4 linked regions of the Saccharomyces cerevisiae S288C genome follow. The protein of the gene in region 1 interacts with the protein of each later gene in a pairwise test. Each region holds a gene or a part of one and is shown in the gene's direction. Other genes may lie near its edges. The genes, in order: BOI1, YER158C, ZDS2 and YJR056C.

Region 1 (5,186 bases):
TTAGCATAGGTCGTTTTCTTCACTTTGCCATTGGGACTAGAACTAGAAGTCAACGAGGAATTCGCATCAGCAAACTCAAAAAAAACATCCAACACCAAAATTTTCTTCAAGAATCTGCCGTTTTTATCCAAGTGGAGCTTCACCAGGATTGGTTTGTCTAATGAATAATTCCATTGTGCTCTATGATGTTGCACATGCACGTGTTTTGTTGTACCTCTACTCTGGGTCGAAGTGGTTTGATGCTCACCGTCCAGAGCCACTTTGTGTCCCGACGTACCTGTTCCATCCTTCAAACGCCATTTCGTGTAGCAATAGCCAGAAGATTGAGGAATATTTACCAATTCTTTGATTTGCAGGTCCAGTAGAAACTTTGGTCTTTTTGCCTTGCTATTATGATTAAATGGCATCTTAATATTTTGTGAGCGGTATTATACCTTTCTTGGGTACCTAATACTTCTAAGCAACCTGAATGAAATTAGAAGGTGTTCACTCCTTCATTAGCAAGTGAGCTTTGCCGTTGTCACCGTACTTGGTCATCTTAAGAGATACAAAGGGGGGGGACCCTGAGAAAACTTCTCCCGAAAAAAAAAAAAGAAATATACCCACGCGTTCTTTACCCGGAAATAAATATCTTGATTTAGCCGCCGAGATTGTTATATATGCATCCAAGACCTCTGAATGGTGGCTAATTAAGACACTTAACTGATTACGTTTCCATCAACTGCTATCATGTTCGCAATATTTGGGCAAGAAATGAAAAAGAAAAGTTACCAACTCTTCTCCCTTCTACGAGCGGTGAATACATGGGAGCCGAGCCGCATGAAGATGAAAGTAATATTAAAATTAAAGTCTCTATCGAAGCAGTGACTCTCTCCCTATCAGCCGGTAAATTTTTTTAACGAAGTGGAGCTAAATTATCAGAAAACGTAGAGCTGGTATGCTGGTAGATCTAAACGAAGTCCAGTTTACATCAAGATGATATCGTGCAATATTTACTACGGCATGACTTAACAGTACAGTCATGATTTAGGAATTTGAGTGTTCTCCGGGGTTTTGCAGATAAAAATTTGTTTTCTTCTCTGCCATTCCTGGAGATTTTGAAAAGAGTTGGTAATGTGTTTCAAAAGAAAAAAATACATTCCAAGAATAAATACCAGGATTTCGTGACAAAAATTAAAAAAAAGGGAAGTATGGCATGCCTAGAAATCTTTTCTGGAAAACTTGAAGCATATCATATAATTGTATGAACTTGTCCTTCAAAAGATGTTACCAAATATTCAAGAGTATGTGAGCTTTCTATTCTATTGACGCGTAAGAAAGGCTATCACGTGTGGGGGGGAGAGCTCAGCCACATTGCACTACTTTCGAAACCGCGTAGTCGGAAACGACATTCCCCCGTACCAAAACAAACGAAAGGACGTGAAAGGTAAATGAATAACATGGCACTAAAAATTTGGCAGAAAACGAAAAAAAAAAGGAAAAAGAAACTGAAAACTATACGCTTCCCTTAGGATACTTTCTGATTTACATCCGAAGAATTGGGTGCGTCAATTAAAGGCAATTCTTCGCTCTATCAAGCAGTTTTACTGCGTCTGTCTAAAGAAACAATTGTTTTACTGAATTTCAACAAAGTTCTAACTCGAGGTGACCGGAGGCCACTGTAATAATAAAAAATAGAAGATGAGTCTCGAAGGAAATACCCTAGGCAAAGGGGCCAAATCTTTTCCTCTGTATATTGCGGTAAATCAGTACTCTAAACGAATGGAGGACGAGCTCAATATGAAACCAGGTGATAAAATTAAAGTCATTACTGATGATGGGGAGTACAATGACGGCTGGTATTATGGGCGCAATTTGAGAACCAAAGAGGAAGGTTTATACCCAGCGGTATTTACCAAAAGAATAGCAATAGAAAAACCAGAGAACCTGCACAAATCACCAACCCAAGAGAGTGGAAATTCTGGTGTTAAATATGGAAATTTAAATGATTCTGCGAGTAACATAGGTAAAGTCTCCTCGCATCAACAGGAGAACAGATATACATCATTGAAAAGTACAATGAGCGATATAGACAAAGCCTTGGAAGAGCTAAGAAGTGGTTCAGTTGAACAAGAGGTATCAAAATCGCCCACACGCGTGCCCGAAGTTAGCACTCCACAGTTGCAAGATGAACAGACTTTGATTCAAGAAAAAACCAGAAATGAGGAAAACACGACACATGACTCGTTATTTTCTAGCACAGCGGATTTAAACTTAAGTTCTGAATCTTTGAAGAATATAAGTAAGTCAAATATATCAACAAAATCCCTAGAACCGAGTTCGGAATCAGTTCGTCAATTAGATTTGAAAATGGCTAAAAGTTGGAGCCCAGAAGAGGTTACTGATTACTTTAGCTTGGTTGGATTTGATCAATCCACTTGCAATAAATTCAAAGAGCATCAAGTCTCCGGAAAAATACTACTGGAATTAGAACTGGAACACCTAAAAGAATTGGAAATAAATTCTTTTGGTATAAGATTTCAGATATTCAAAGAAATAAGGAACATCAAGTCTGCAATTGATTCGTCGTCAAATAAACTGGACGCCGACTACTCTACCTTTGCTTTTGAAAACCAAGCTGCCCAACTAATGCCTGCAGCCACTGTAAATAGAGACGAAATCCAACAACAAATTTCCTCCAAGTGTAACAAGTTGTCAAGTGAAAGCTCTGATAGAAAATCATCTTCGGTCACCACAGAATTGCAAAGACCAAGCTCGGTTGTTGTTAATCCCAATTTTAAACTTCACGACCCAGCTGAGCAGATCCTAGATATGACAGAAGTTCCTAATTTGTTTGCTGATAAAGATATTTTCGAATCACCGGGAAGGGCTCCAAAACCACCATCATATCCAAGTCCAGTTCAACCTCCACAATCGCCCTCTTTTAATAACAGGTACACAAATAATAACGCAAGGTTTCCTCCTCAAACAACATATCCACCTAAAAACAAGAACCCAACCGTTTATTCAAATGGGCTAATTCCAAATTCTTCGACATCTTCCGATAATTCAACGGGCAAGTTCAAATTCCCTGCCATGAATGGTCATGACTCGAACTCTAGGAAAACAACACTGACATCTGCTACTATACCTTCTATTAACACGGTTAACACAGATGAATCTCTACCCGCAATTTCAAATATATCTTCAAATGCTACATCTCATCATCCGAACAGAAATTCCGTTGTTTACAATAACCATAAGAGGACGGAATCCGGAAGCTCATTTGTTGATTTGTTCAACAGGATTTCAATGCTATCGCCAGTCAAGTCAAGTTTCGACGAAGAAGAAACGAAACAACCTTCAAAAGCTAGCAGAGCAGTTTTTGACTCAGCACGCAGAAAGTCGTCTTACGGACATTCAAGAGATGCCTCACTTTCTGAAATGAAAAAGCATAGGAGAAACTCTTCTATATTATCTTTTTTTTCTTCAAAAAGTCAGTCTAATCCAACGTCACCAACCAAACAAACTTTCACTATCGATCCCGCAAAGATGACTTCCCATTCTCGTTCTCAGTCGAATTCCTATTCGCATGCAAGATCACAATCTTACTCCCATAGTAGAAAACACTCGTTAGTTACCAGCCCCTTGAAAACTTCTTTAAGCCCTATAAATTCCAAATCCAATATTGCTTTAGCGCATAGCGAAACTCCTACTAGTAGTAATAATAAGGAGGCAGTATCACAACCAAGTGAAGGGAAGCACAAGCACAAGCACAAGCACAAGAGCAAGCACAAACACAAGAACAGTAGCTCCAAAGATGGCTCTTCCGAAGAAAAAAGCAAAAAGAAATTATTTAGTAGCACCAAAGAATCATTTGTAGGAAGCAAGGAATTCAAAAGATCTCCCAGTGAACTTACCCAAAAATCTACCAAATCGATACTTCCCAGGTCGAATGCTAAAAAGCAACAAACATCTGCTTTTACCGAAGGTATACGCTCTATCACAGCAAAGGAATCTATGCAAACTGCGGACTGTTCAGGCTGGATGAGCAAAAAAGGTACCGGTGCTATGGGGACTTGGAAACAACGGTTTTTCACACTTCATGGAACAAGGCTTTCTTATTTTACGAATACCAATGATGAGAAGGAGCGTGGCCTGATAGATATAACGGCACATAGGGTCTTACCTGCCAGTGATGATGATAGGCTCATTTCCTTATACGCTGCGAGCTTAGGAAAAGGAAAATACTGTTTCAAATTGGTCCCTCCGCAACCGGGGTCCAAAAAGGGGCTAACCTTTACAGAACCTCGCGTTCACTATTTTGCAGTTGAGAATAAATCTGAAATGAAGGCATGGCTGTCAGCCATAATAAAGGCCACTATTGATATTGATACAAGCGTCCCTGTCATTAGTTCATATGCCACACCAACGATACCTCTAAGCAAGGCACAGACGCTATTGGAAGAAGCTAGGTTACAAACCCAGTTAAGAGATGCTGAAGAGGAAGAGGGAAGAGATCAATTTGGATGGGATGACACCCAAAATAAAAGAAATTCTAATTATCCAATCGAACAAGATCAATTTGAGACCAGCGATTACCTGGAAAGTTCAGCATTTGAATACCCTGGTGGCAGACTTTGAGAACTGCAATCATTAGTTACTTCTTGACCAACTTAAACACCTTAATAATTAATATTTAATAGAACATAATATAGTGATATAAAGTATATAAAAATAAAAAGTTTACGAATTAATACAATCAAATTAGACACTGATACTATCAAGAAGTACATCGCAGGAACCGCAGACATGATGTCCTCTTCTTTCAAATTACTGGATATATATATTATTATTATTGTTACCATTAACGTTATTATTATTAACTATTACTATTACATTAACTTAAAAATAAATATGAAACAACGAAGAACAAAAAGAATTATGAAAACATTTAACATGTTTCAATTTGTTATGTTTTGGCCAACCTGCGTTTATTCTTGCATATGACATTTTTGTAATTCATCGATGATAACTTGGTTACCCTTTGGATCCAAATTCATAGCAACAGTTAGCTCCTTGATTGCATCTTTTTTCCTCCCAACTATTCTATATGTTTGACCCAGCAAATAATGGGCTGTGGCATCATCAGGAACGAGTTTCACCAATTCTTCAAAAGTTTGCAAAGCAACATTATATCTTGTCAT
Region 2 (3,999 bases), on another chromosome or scaffold:
ATCAACTTTTTCGGATATCGTAACCCGGCATCTGTGTTACGTTGTGTGTTTATATTTTTTTAACTGTTCGTGAATTATGACATTCTATAAAAAAGAATCTTTTTGTATTTAAGGAGAAGAATTTTCCAGGCCAAAATTAATTTTTTTTTTTTTTGTCAGGTAGCGTGATATTTCCTATTACCCTTAAAACACATGAATTTGCGAAAGAAAGGGCAATGCACTGAGAAATAAAAAGGCAGGCAAAGAAAAACGTATACAAAAGGGGATTATTTTATTTTGGGGCATTAAAACCAAAAACGGAAAAAAAAGCACGTCACGAAAATAAAAATTCAAAAAAAAAAATAAAACCAGTTACAGTACTCATCACTACATTCTTAATGGCAGATCAAGTACCAGTTACAACACAACTACCACCAATAAAACCTGAACATGAGGTACCACTTGATGCTGGAGGGAGTCCAGTAGGTAACATGGGTACCAACTCGAATAACAACAACGAGCTAGGTGATGTATTCGACAGAATAAAGACACACTTCCCTCCGGCCAAGGTAAAGAAAATAATGCAGACAGACGAGGATATAGGAAAAGTTTCACAAGCCACGCCCGTAATAGCGGGCAGGTCCCTAGAGTTTTTTATAGCGTTATTGGTGAAAAAAAGCGGGGAGATGGCAAGAGGACAAGGAACCAAGAGAATAACCGCCGAAATACTAAAAAAAACAATTTTAAACGACGAAAAATTCGATTTCTTAAGGGAAGGTCTATGCGTAGAAGAAGGCCAAACACAACCGGAGGAAGAGAGTGCCTGAGCAGAACGGGGCGATGTAACTTAGTGTAAAATGAATACCACATCTATATATATCCATATACCAATGTATTTATATCTATATATGTCTGCACATATATATTATACTCTATTATCAAGGACGAAACGTAATCACATATGTATCAACGACAACCGGCGCCTCATGTAATCTGTACCTTTCTCTACAGTTACATAGCATGAGTATGTGTATTCCTATTTAGGAAAAAATTAACGCTATTCTTAAGGTTTACGAAAGAGCATGCATCACCCCATACGATCCCCGGAGTAACTCCCGCAGGTGGGTGTGCGGGCGCTCAGCCTGCTATACGATTTAGAAACGAGGCGCTGCGTTACCGTCTGTGACTTCTTAAATAAGATTTTTAGGTGTCCCATCCTTCCAACTGTGCCTACACCAGAAAGACAAAAAGAAAGGAGGAAAAAGAAAAGCTAATTTTTTCTTTCAAGTGCCAAAGGAAGCGGACGAAGGGCTAGCTCGAGGATTCTTGCAGCAACGGAGGAAGGAGTGTGAAAAATCGTTAAGGTTCTCGCGGTTTGCACCGCGTTGCGTTCGAGACACCAAAGAAATGTATACTTGCAGATTGTGCTGATATGCTAGTTTAAGCCCAAGCGGTCTGGTTGTTGGCTTCTTGCTTCTGATAATTACTTAATATTAATACCTCAAAATTACGCACTTGGAAATATAATACAGGCGTACTCCTTTTGTATTTGTCTTTCATCTGCACTTGACTTCAGCTTTCTTTACTACTGCTCTATATACAGTAATCTGTTTACACTCATCATCAAATAACTGAAGGAGAGCTACGGCAAAATACTTGTTTATTGTCATATTATTGCTATTGTTGTTTTTTCCGTGCTGACACAATAGGATTCATTTTACCAGGCTAAACACATAGCCACCACCGCTCGCTACTACTTCCACTCACTCTTAATCAGCATGTTACAGCAGGGTTCTTCCTCGAGGAGGAGTTTGCATGGTAATGATTTTCACACGCTCACTTCTCCTTCAAGGAGAGACTCTTTGAGTATTCCTAGGGCTGTGGACGCTAGATCTGCGTCTACGATTGATCTGTTCTACATACCGGATGCTACCGTCTCAAGGAGGCACTCTACTCTGGTGGCTAATAGATCAGACAATAATGGTAATGGCGCACCGATGCGCCAGTACAATAAACCTAACTTTGCTTCCTCCTCGACTTCATCTCTGCCTTCAACTAGAAATCGCCCCTCTCGCTACGATAACATGAATATGAATATGAATATGAATATGAACATGAACATGAACATGAACATGAACATGAACAACCATACTACCAGTGATCACAATGCGCACCCGCAATATCGTTGTAGACCAAACCCGTCCAGACGCCACTCCTTAATGACCATTCCCGAAAAGTACTCTGGTAGTCGCTACAGTCTCCGATCATCCCCGCCTACCTATTCTAATCCACGTGTTAGGAAGGAACTTACTCCTTTCCAATTACAAAGAAAGCAGATGAAAAGCGCTTTTCAATTCCCCAACGGTGAAAATTTCACGCCAAGAAACCAGATAGCAAGGCTTCCGCCATCTTCGACTTTTCCCGACTCTCCTTCTAGTTCATCGTTGCCTTTGACCCAGACTGGAGGCCCATCTTCCGCAGATAACGATTCCATTGCCACTGGCACGAACAATCGTTCTCCTCAACAAACGAAAGCTGCTGATGCTAATCAGAAATCTGAATCCGAGTCTCCAAAGGCAATTAGATCAAATTCTAAAAAGATATCTCGTTTCTTCAGGAAAATCTGGTCGTCCAAGTCATCAAATTCTGCAGATTCCGTAGAAGAGAATAGCAAAACAAAGCAGAAAAGGAAAAATCCGGAGAGAGTTGTACCAGAACCGATAACGTCCCTTGACCAACCGGTTGAAATTATAAAACAGAGTTTTTCAACCGTTAACAATCACGAAACGGCTGTACCTTCAATTAAGGACTCTGGCATAGTACAAGAATTGACAGCACTCGGAGATAATAACAGGATACCAGTTCTTCCACCCCCTAGGTCACCAAACAGACCTACACTGTCTGATAAACGAACTACAAAGTTATACTACTGTAGTCAAGATTCGTCTAATGAAGATATTGCTCCAGAGGAAAAGAGCACCGTTTTCTTAAAGCGTTTGCAGGATGAATGGTCTACCGTGTATTTAAACAAATTGCCTTTGACTGCTTCTGTGCCATCTTCTCTCTCTACCACTACTGATGCTGCGAACTCTTCGTTCATAAACTCTTCAATATCATCGCCGGCTCCTTCTTCTTCGTCCTCGTCATCGTTGGTTTCCCGTGGACCAATGCAATCCATATCTTCTTCGCCAACACCTGCCCCTTCTTCAGGGTCATCGAAATCTAAAAATGCCGTCAAATCCTTACGCTTTGCGGATGAGATTTATGTAAACGATACGTGGTCCGCCGCGGACTATTGCAGGTGTGATAATACCTTTTTGAATAATTTCTTTAAAGGAAAGAGCCAAGACATTACCAATCCTTCTACTTTTGTCGGTAATAATCTCTCATCCACAAAAAATATATCCAATATTGAAATCAAAATGGAGGTGAATGAGTTCAAAAGAAAGGAAATGCGCGTTCACCAGGATAGCGCTAAGTATACACATTACTACTTATAACGGGTTCATCAAGCTTTTTTCCTTCTTGAGACTCTGTTGTATCTCTTTATATATTCTATTTTATTTTATATGCATCGAACTTTTTACGTAAGATAAATACTTACTACATTTTGGATAATTGTTTTAACAGGTTAATTTCTATAATCTATTTTTTATCTGCTCTTATAGCATTCAAATATTTGCAGCGGTAAAAAATTATGGTTAAGACCCGCGCGACTGTAAAAATAGCGCGTAAGATTTCCCTGAAGAGCGATGAGTTTTAACATTTAAAAGATATGTCTGAGATCAATCGCTTTTTTACCAGCTACCTAACTTTATAACCTTAACCGATAATTAGAATTTTTTACAGTGATTATCTAAGAGTGTTAATGAAGTTTTTATTGATGGATGCTTGCTTAACGCGGGGGCTCGAAAATTACTTAATCACATTTTTATCGCCTATGGACATACTGATAGGGAATATTTGAATTATATCATTTCGAATAATGTTCAGAATATAGTGCTGTGGTAATAATCTTAA
Region 3 (5,173 bases), on another chromosome or scaffold:
TTTCTTTCGTTCTATTTCCCCCTAGTATATACGAATTCTGCACATCACAGCAAAATATATGGCTATCACATGGCACAGGTATTACTAAAGAAGAAGAGAGACAGAAATAGTATAGGCATGTTTTACTAGCTTCGATTTTCTTGACAAAAAAAAAAGGAAATTTGTTCTATTTACTTTAAACTTTAATGCCCCAATGGATGGCACATATACCAAAAGTTAAACTTTCGTAGCCAGCAGATTTGAATCCTGCCTTCTCAATCATGGATTTGAACGTTTCTTGGTCAGGAAATCTTTCGATAGACTCCACCAAATACTGGTAAGAGTCGTAGTCATTAGCAATCATCGAGCCCATTACAGGTAGGACCTTAGCCCACTGTTGGTAAGCAAAGTCCATTAGGGGATTCTCAATTTTGGAAAATTCTAGACAATAAAAAATACCGCCCGGTTTCAAAACTCTATAAGCAGTGTTTAAACCCTTTTGAATATCGGTGAAATTTCTGATACCGAAGGAGACTGTGTAGATGTCCTTGGAATCAGAATCAATCTCCTCTAGTTTCTCACCATTAGAAACCAAAAATCTCACACGAGGATCCTTGAAATATTTTCCTTGTTCCATGGCTCTCTTCTCACCTTCTTTAAGCATGTCAGGGTTGATATCTACAATATCCATTGTAGACTCAGTGTCACCAAATTTCGACTCAGCATGGTCTAGTAATCCGAAAGCAATATCACCGGATCCCCCAGCCACATCTATGAAGTTCAAAGGAGTCGTAGAGTTTGGCCTTTTTCCCGCATCTAGTTTATTGATAAAATGGTCCTTCCACAATCTATGAATTCCTAATGACATAACATCATTCATCAAGTCATACCGATTGGCCACGGAAGAAAAGACATCACCAACTAACTTCTGCTTGGTAGACTTCAATACAGTCTTCGAACCAAAATGCGTATACTTCTGCTCTGGCTGTTCAGCTGCGGATGATAAAGGACTATTAACTTCTTCTTCTTTGCATGCTCTGTGAGCTTGCGTAAAACACCTAGATAATCTTAGCGGGACATTTACCAGCGAGCTTCGAACGATCCGTGAAGAAATCAACATTATATCTTTCTTGCTGCGATCTGTACTATTCCCTTTGCAATTGTAACAGCAGCTGTATAAGGAGTGAAGGTGGCAGATATCCTTATAGTTTCTTGTGTGATCCTTTTTTTTCCACTTTTTCAGTTTTTGTCAAATGCGGAAGCTAGTTTCCATATTAGGGAAGAGCAGGCAACAGGGCAGAATCCTATACGGAAAGACTTTCATTTAATGATACATTTGCCAAATAACTGTGTTCCAATATCGAGAACAGAACTATCGGATACCTTGATATTTGCTCAATGGTGTCACTTCCCGTTTTTGACATGTACTCTTCCCAATTCAGAAAAATTCTCGCACTTTTCCCACAGAGAAAACCGCAAAACTCAGAAATTTAGGCTGTGTATCGCCGATAGTATCACGGCCGGTTTATGCTTGATTTGGCTGCAAAATGGTCACATTGGACCTAGAAGTGGCCTTTTGTAGCTAATTATAAGTGCATGATTATTGTGACCAGTAACATTTGCTGACGCGTTGTGCGGGTAGCACACGCCGCGTCTTATTTTTGTTTTCATCTCATCTTCGTTAGATCATAATAATATGATTGAAAACTGGAGTAAAACGCTAAAGAACAGTGTCAAGGTTAGTAGTATCGTATACTTTACATTGATCACGTTTGCACTATAGACTGAATTTAAATTAGAATTTTATGGTACTGATGGAAGATATGCAAAACAAAGATGGCCATAATACTGTAGAAAACAGTAGTGGTGGTACGGACAGTAATAATAATATTCAAATGAGGCGAATGAGGAAGACACAGCTGTCCAAGAAGGAGCTTTTTGAGAAGAGGAAATCTGACGTGTTAATTGCTGCCAAGTCTTTAGATACAGAAATTCAGAATGTGAAAAATTTGAAGCGATTGTCGATTGGTTCAATGGATTTGGTAATTGACCCTGAGCTAGAGTTCAAAGTGAACAGTAGAAACTCATATTCTTCAGATTCCTCAAAGGAATCCCTTCAAGAATCGCTCCATGAAGAGAACATTATACGATCAGAACAAAAGGAAGAACAAGGGAGCGAAGACAATGATGCATATGAAGAGGGCGATGCTACTAATGTCGACGACAGTATAGATATCACTCAAACAGAGTATTTGCATGATGAAGAAACATTGGAGAAGGAAAAAATCATCCGTAATGCTTCTTCATCCACTTCATCTTCAGCAAGAGTAACGTCGAGGAACAGAAGGCTCAGTGGAGTAAAGACATTGGCTCACGATGTTGTATTGGATGTGGAGAACGACCACGATTCAAAAATGGTTGATTTAACTCAAAACCTTTTGTGGGTGCCCGCTGACCAACATCCTAACGTTAAGCCCGAAAACTATTTGGAATTGATCCAGGACACTTTACAAAACATTCAAATAAGCACAAATCAAGACATTGATGAAAACAAATTAGAACTGGGTAACAATCATGTAATTTCGAATAGAAAACGCACGGGCTCTGTAGTTAGAAGGCCTTCTCGGTTGAAGACATCTTATACCAAGTTTGATGACGAACCTCCCCTTGCAGACAAACCACAAGAAGGAGAAATACAAGTGGATAAGCGAATATCCTCATCTGACATCAAAACCATAAGATCTGTATCTTTGAAAGAAATTACTGAAGAGCTTACTAAGATTTCCAATAATGCCGGTTTAACGGACTCAGATGCGGTGACTTTAGCCAGAAGCTTGAGCATGTCAGGGTCATTTACCAACGAAAGTCTTCATTTGAACGGCAATCACACTGAAAATGATAACGAATTTGCATCAAATATGTTTAATGAAACTGGACTTACCATACCAGAGAGATCTTCTCTAAGGAGGTCTAAATTCAACACATATAAGATCAGACTAGAGGGTAGTAGCCTTCCACAGGCGGTAAAACTCAATAGCCTAATGAATATACAAACTAATGACAATCGCAGAAGTGCATCATCGCCTGCCTCCTACACACAAGTGCCTCAGGAGCAAGCATCATTGAATGATTTTCACGAGATTTTCGACCATTACAGAAGAACAAGTACTGATTGGAGTACCGAAAATGAGAAATACGTTGATAGCACCAACTACTATTCGGATGAAGAAGATTTGACACATGCATCTATTTCTCAAGAGAGCAGTCTTTTATCTACAGATAGTTCTAACAACAGCGTTTTAATAAAGCCGCATAACACTGGTTCGATGATTTCTGAAAAATTGGATCAGCACGTTAGCTCGAGTGAAAAATCAAATACCAATAACAGCGAAGCAAATCATGGCTGGTCATGGTTGAATTCTAGCAATGGAAGTTTGAACGCTAATGAACAAACTTATCAACAGCTTACAGATGATGAAGACGATGAAGAATGTGTGGACAATGAAAAAGCTGACTTTGTTAACTTGAGTGTATCGAGGAGAGCGAAATCTACCAAACGTGCCTCTGAAAGAATAAACCATTCCAAAAATAGACATTCGCCAATTTTCCAGATACATTCTGAAGAAGCAAAATCCGTGGTAATCACTCCTTCAGTCGTTTCTTCATCTGAATCCCAGCCATCTAAGCCTACTGCACCGGCAGTCGTGGAGAAAAAGGTAGAACTGCCTACTGACACCCAAGCCAGTACACATAAGAAAAATTCCTTGGAGAAAAGGCTTGCCAAATTATTCAAAAGAAAACAACATAATGGTACCTGCAAATCAGATGTGAAAGTAATCAAAAAAAGTGTTAAAAAAGAACTGAAAAAGAAGGCTTCGCATTCGAGTTTATCAAAATTCAGGAAAAGTCCCAAGAAAAAGCCCCAAGAAGCGGAAGTTGAACGCCCTTCATCCCCCACCAAAACAATTACCACCGAAGATATAGATACAGCAAGCGTCATTGAACCAGAAGTGAGAAGTTCAAATGCTTCCACCCTTCTTCCTGACAGCCATACTAGCCACAGTTCTGAATTTGTGGTGGAAACTATAAGCGAGTTAGATGGCGACGATTCATTTGATATTAGTGGTGGTGATGTAAACTACGACGTCGAAGTGCACTCTAGTATCAGTAGAGATACGACAGCTGGACTAGAAGAGGATATAGGAGCAGAGAGAGAAGACAACACTTCACCTACTGCCCCTCAAATCTCAACTTTGCCTCCAAGAAAATTGACATTTGAAGATGTCGTTAAACCAGATTACTCAAACGCTCCAATAAAATTCACAGACAGTGCTTTTGGATTCCCATTACCAATGATAACCAACTCTACAGTGATTATGTTTGACCATCGTCTAGGAATTAATGTTGAAAGGGCTATTTACAGACTCAGCCATCTGAAGCTTAGCGATCCCGGGAGGGAATTAAGACAACAAGTATTGCTAAGTAACTTCATGTACTCCTACTTGAATTTAGTCAATCATACCTTATACATGGAGCAGGTGGGCACTGGAGATATAGCCTTCAATGGTGATTCTGCCTTGGGAATGATGGACAAAAATGATTCTGATGGCACAATCTTAATTCCAGACATTTAACTCATAACTGTTTACAAGATTGATAGATACCTATATAAGGCCACATATTTCAAGTATTGTAAGGATGCCCTTTTAGTGTCAAACTTCTTATTATCACGAAAAACGTCGTCTTTTCATGCAAGGAAGGACTACAGTATATACATATAAATATATATTTATGTAATTATTTTTTTCTTTTTTTTTAAATTTTCTAGCGAGAATGAAGAAAAGCCGACCTCATCTCATCCTATTTGGAACAAATTCGAATGATCTGTCCAATACAGCAAGGCTACCTTGCGGTTGAATTCTATCTCGTACTACACTAAGACGAAAGAGAAAAACGAAATGTCCAAGAGTAATACTTATAGGATGCTCGTCTTACTAGAAGACGACACCAAGATAAATAAAGAAGATGAAAAATTTTTGAAAGGTAAGCCGGGAAAAATGCATGAATTTGTTGACGAGTTGATACTTCCATTTAATGTTGACGAACTGGACGAATTAAATACCTGGTTTGATAAGTTCGATGCCGAAATATGTATACCGAACGAAGGTCATATCAAATACGAAATTAGTAGCGA
Region 4 (3,238 bases), on another chromosome or scaffold:
TTGAGTGCTTAAAAATAATGTCAAATCCGGTTTCAGCAACCCTACATCGGGTTGCAAGCACCAATCCAAATCCATTCCATTTGTCCCCTTAGCGGCAGAATATGCCACTCCAGAATAAACATATCTGTCCATGACAATGTTCTTGCCTTCTAGTAAATCTTTCTTTATCTTGTCAACTATTTCCCATCTATTTGCCGAAAACAAGAGGTGAATTGCCTGATCTGATAATTGGAAACTATCATCCGTCAAATATTCGTTTATGAGTCCTCCGATTCGGGTAGACCTTTCGGGGAACTTCAATAGTTTACAGTTTGGTTGCAATTTTTTGTAAAGAATATTACATTGCGTGGTTTTACCAGTCCTATCCAATCCTTCTATCAGTATTAATTTGCCACGACCCATCATTCAAAATGGTGATCTTTCTGTCCACTATGAATCATATTTAGTTTAGAAGCGTACTTCTTGGGAAGACGTTACATTTTTTCGCCATCTTTAGCACCACGCCTAACGCGTCAAAAGTCACAACCGCATAGAAGCCGTTATTCTCTTCTTCATTTCTAAGCTATTTTCCAACTTTTTATATTATCAACTGTAACCTACTAGTTTAGGATATCGCTTTCTCCCTTTGTTACCAATGCACAATTATTTCGTAATTATAAAAATGGACCCGTGGAACAAATTAATGTTTGGAAGAAAGGTGAATTTTTTGATAATTGCTGGGATTCCATTGTTGGTAAAGACTTAATATTAGGTATACAGAATATACTAGGAGTTCTCTCTGGGTATGTAGGAATCCACAAAAGGGTGTCACTAGTTCAACATAATAATGTCTTTTTTTTATTCCTTCTTTGATACTTTGTCACTCATTATCCTATTACATTATCAATCCTTGCATTTTTAGCTTTCATTAGACTTTGTTACTGTTTCTCAATCCTTATGTTATCTTCTTACACAGTATGGGATAATATAATAGTAACATGAAAACTCTTCGATAGGTAATAGTTGATTCTTGTTCCAACGTTACTATAGCTATGGAAAATAACGCAGCAGCATATGAAGTTTCGGCTCTAATCCACTGTGCAAAATACAGGTTTCTCTCTTCAAAAGGTATCCTCCAGAAAAGTTATGAAGTATTTTCATATGATGATGCTGACTTAATACTTCCCAACCGAAAATCACATTTGCGAATAAGCTGGTCATGATGTCGCTATTTCTAATTCCGTTGAAAATACTTACGTTTGTTCCTCAGTTGCTATCTCATTTCAAGTATTTGTTCATTAATTTGTCAGTATTCTCTTCCATCCCTTAGCTTTAGTATAAATTTCACTCTGAACCATCTTGGAAGGACCGGATAATTATTTGAAATCTCTTTTTCAATTGTATATGTGTTATGTAGTATACTCTTTCTTCAACAATTAAATACTCTCGGTAGCCAAGTTGGTTTAAGGCGCAAGACTGTAATTTATCACTACGAAATCTTGAGATCGGGCGTTCGACTCGCCCCCGGGAGATTTTTTTGTTTTTTATGTCTCCATTCACTTCCCAGACTTGCAAGTTGAAATATTTCTTTCAAGCTCTTAACGAAGAGTTATTATCAAATTGTGACATATTCCTTTACACAATACGGAGATAATATATTAACGAACTCTTGTAGCCTCTTTTCCTTGTTACCCCACCTATATTTTCTTCACTTTTCGAATTTGTTCTAAAAGTGCGCTTGAAAAAATTTCAAATGGTTCTTTTTCCTTACTCGTAAAGGCATCTGGACAAAAGCATCGTTTCCACCTTCCAAGTGCACGTTAGCCTGATACAAATCATTGGTGGTGAAGCGCAGCCATTCATTCTACTGTACTTGTCTTACGTCGTTTTGCAGTTTAGCATCGTGGCAGCTCATACAATTACATTTCAAGAAACCTTTTTTACCGACGACACATATCTAATTCAAGAGCAGAATATATTCAATTATGGAGCAAATGCATTCATTGGAATCAAGTTTACCTCCAGAGCAACCTCCTACAAAGCAAGCGATTGAGAGTCTTAATTTGGAACTTTCTCAAGAGTTCAAGCTAGCCGCCAATGCGGTGACAAGACTTTACCGGGTGGCTAATGAGAAAAACTCTTTAACCAAACATCAGGGCTACCTCACCTGTTTGGATGATATACTATGTGCATTGGACTCAAATGTGACTGCTGACGAGTTAAGGGCTTGGTGCTATAAACGAAGAAATGATATCCTTTCAAACTCGCAGGATAAATCTTTAAATCCGGTGAAAGAAAGGGAAAGAAAGCTTAATAAGTTCAGTGAAAACCAACACCGCGAAAATGAAGCTCATAAGGAACCTTTTGAAAAAGACAGCGCAGTCAAGTATAATTTCAGTTTCAACGAATCAAATGGGGACCTCTCAAATATTAATGAAAATATAGCACCTAAATTTAGACTTTCTATGCCGCCTTTAAGTGTCGAACATCCTCCTAGGAATGCTAGTCGTATAAAATCCTGGAAAGCACGAACAATCAATCACGGAAGAGGGGACACGAGAAACCTAAATGACATAACGGGACTTGGACATGAGCGTGAGCGTGATCGTGAAAATACACATTATGAAAAAAAACCGAAATTGGATTCTGATTCAGAAGTAGACATAAGGAGTTTCCGCCAGGATATGGACCTGTAAGAACACCCGGGAAGAGGTTCTCAAGTTAGAAGGAGCCCATTGCATTGTAGGTATAATATCGAAAATATTTAAATATTGTTTTTGAATCTCATATATACATACGTTTCAGAAAGCACATAGAAATAAACTTTCAGTGAGCCAGATGGTGTCTGATAACTTACGATATATGCAAAAAGTATGTTATATGTAACCGCAACAGTAGCCAAAAAAATCTCCGCGACGGGGAATTGAACCCCGATCTGGCACGCGACAAGCGCCCATTCTGACCATTAAACTATCACGGATTTTCTTTCTGTACAAATCTGGATTTTCTGTTATTATATAACAAATCAAAAAAAAGTTCCGAGTAATTAATGTTGAGATATGTTGGAATAAAAATCAACTATCATCTACTAACTAGTATTTACGTTACTAGTATATTATCATATACGGTGTTAGAAGATGACGCAAATGATGAGAAATAGTCATCTAAATTAGTGGAAGCTGAAACGCAAGGATTGATAATGTAATAGGATCAATGAATATTAACATATAAAATGATGATAATAATATTTATAGAATTG

The links.
Region 2: the proteins of BOI1 (region 1) and YER158C interact in binary tests that used the Saccharomyces cerevisiae proteins (3 or more experiments, as listed by UniProt).
Region 3: the proteins of BOI1 (region 1) and ZDS2 interact in binary tests that used the Saccharomyces cerevisiae proteins (3 or more experiments, as listed by UniProt).
Region 4: the proteins of BOI1 (region 1) and YJR056C interact in binary tests that used the Saccharomyces cerevisiae proteins (3 or more experiments, as listed by UniProt).

What each region holds. Positions count from the first base shown.
Region 1 is NC_001134.8:62,196-67,381, forward strand, and holds BOI1 (Boi1p), read left to right. Parts: upstream 1-1,680; coding exon 1,681-4,623; downstream 4,624-5,186. Other genes in the region: YBL086C (uncharacterized protein), read right to left, coding at 1-407; anaphase promoting complex subunit CDC27, read right to left, coding at 4,974-5,186. UniProt on the Saccharomyces cerevisiae protein: Functions redundantly with BOI2 to promote the fusion of secretory vesicles with the plasma membrane at sites of polarized growth.
Region 2 is NC_001137.3:488,337-492,335, reverse strand, and holds YER158C (uncharacterized protein), read left to right. Parts: upstream 1-1,757; coding exon 1,758-3,479; downstream 3,480-3,999. Other genes in the region: negative cofactor 2 transcription regulator complex subunit BUR6, read left to right, coding at 378-806.
Region 3 is NC_001145.3:49,856-55,028, forward strand, and holds ZDS2 (Zds2p), read left to right. Parts: upstream 1-1,784; coding exon 1,785-4,613; downstream 4,614-5,173. Other genes in the region: COQ5 (2-hexaprenyl-6-methoxy-1,4-benzoquinone methyltransferase), read right to left, coding at 176-1,099; YML108W (uncharacterized protein), read left to right, coding at 4,938-5,173. UniProt on the Saccharomyces cerevisiae protein: Acts as a negative regulator of polarized growth via an alternative mechanism to ZDS1. In heat-stressed cells appears to play a role in localizing BCY1 to the cytoplasm. Seems to interact with, and down-regulate, CDC42. Also acts as a suppressor of PKC1.
Region 4 is NC_001142.9:541,229-544,466, reverse strand, and holds YJR056C (uncharacterized protein), read left to right. Parts: upstream 1-1,964; coding exon 1,965-2,675; downstream 2,676-3,238. Other genes in the region: CDC8 (bifunctional thymidylate/uridylate kinase), read right to left, coding at 1-405.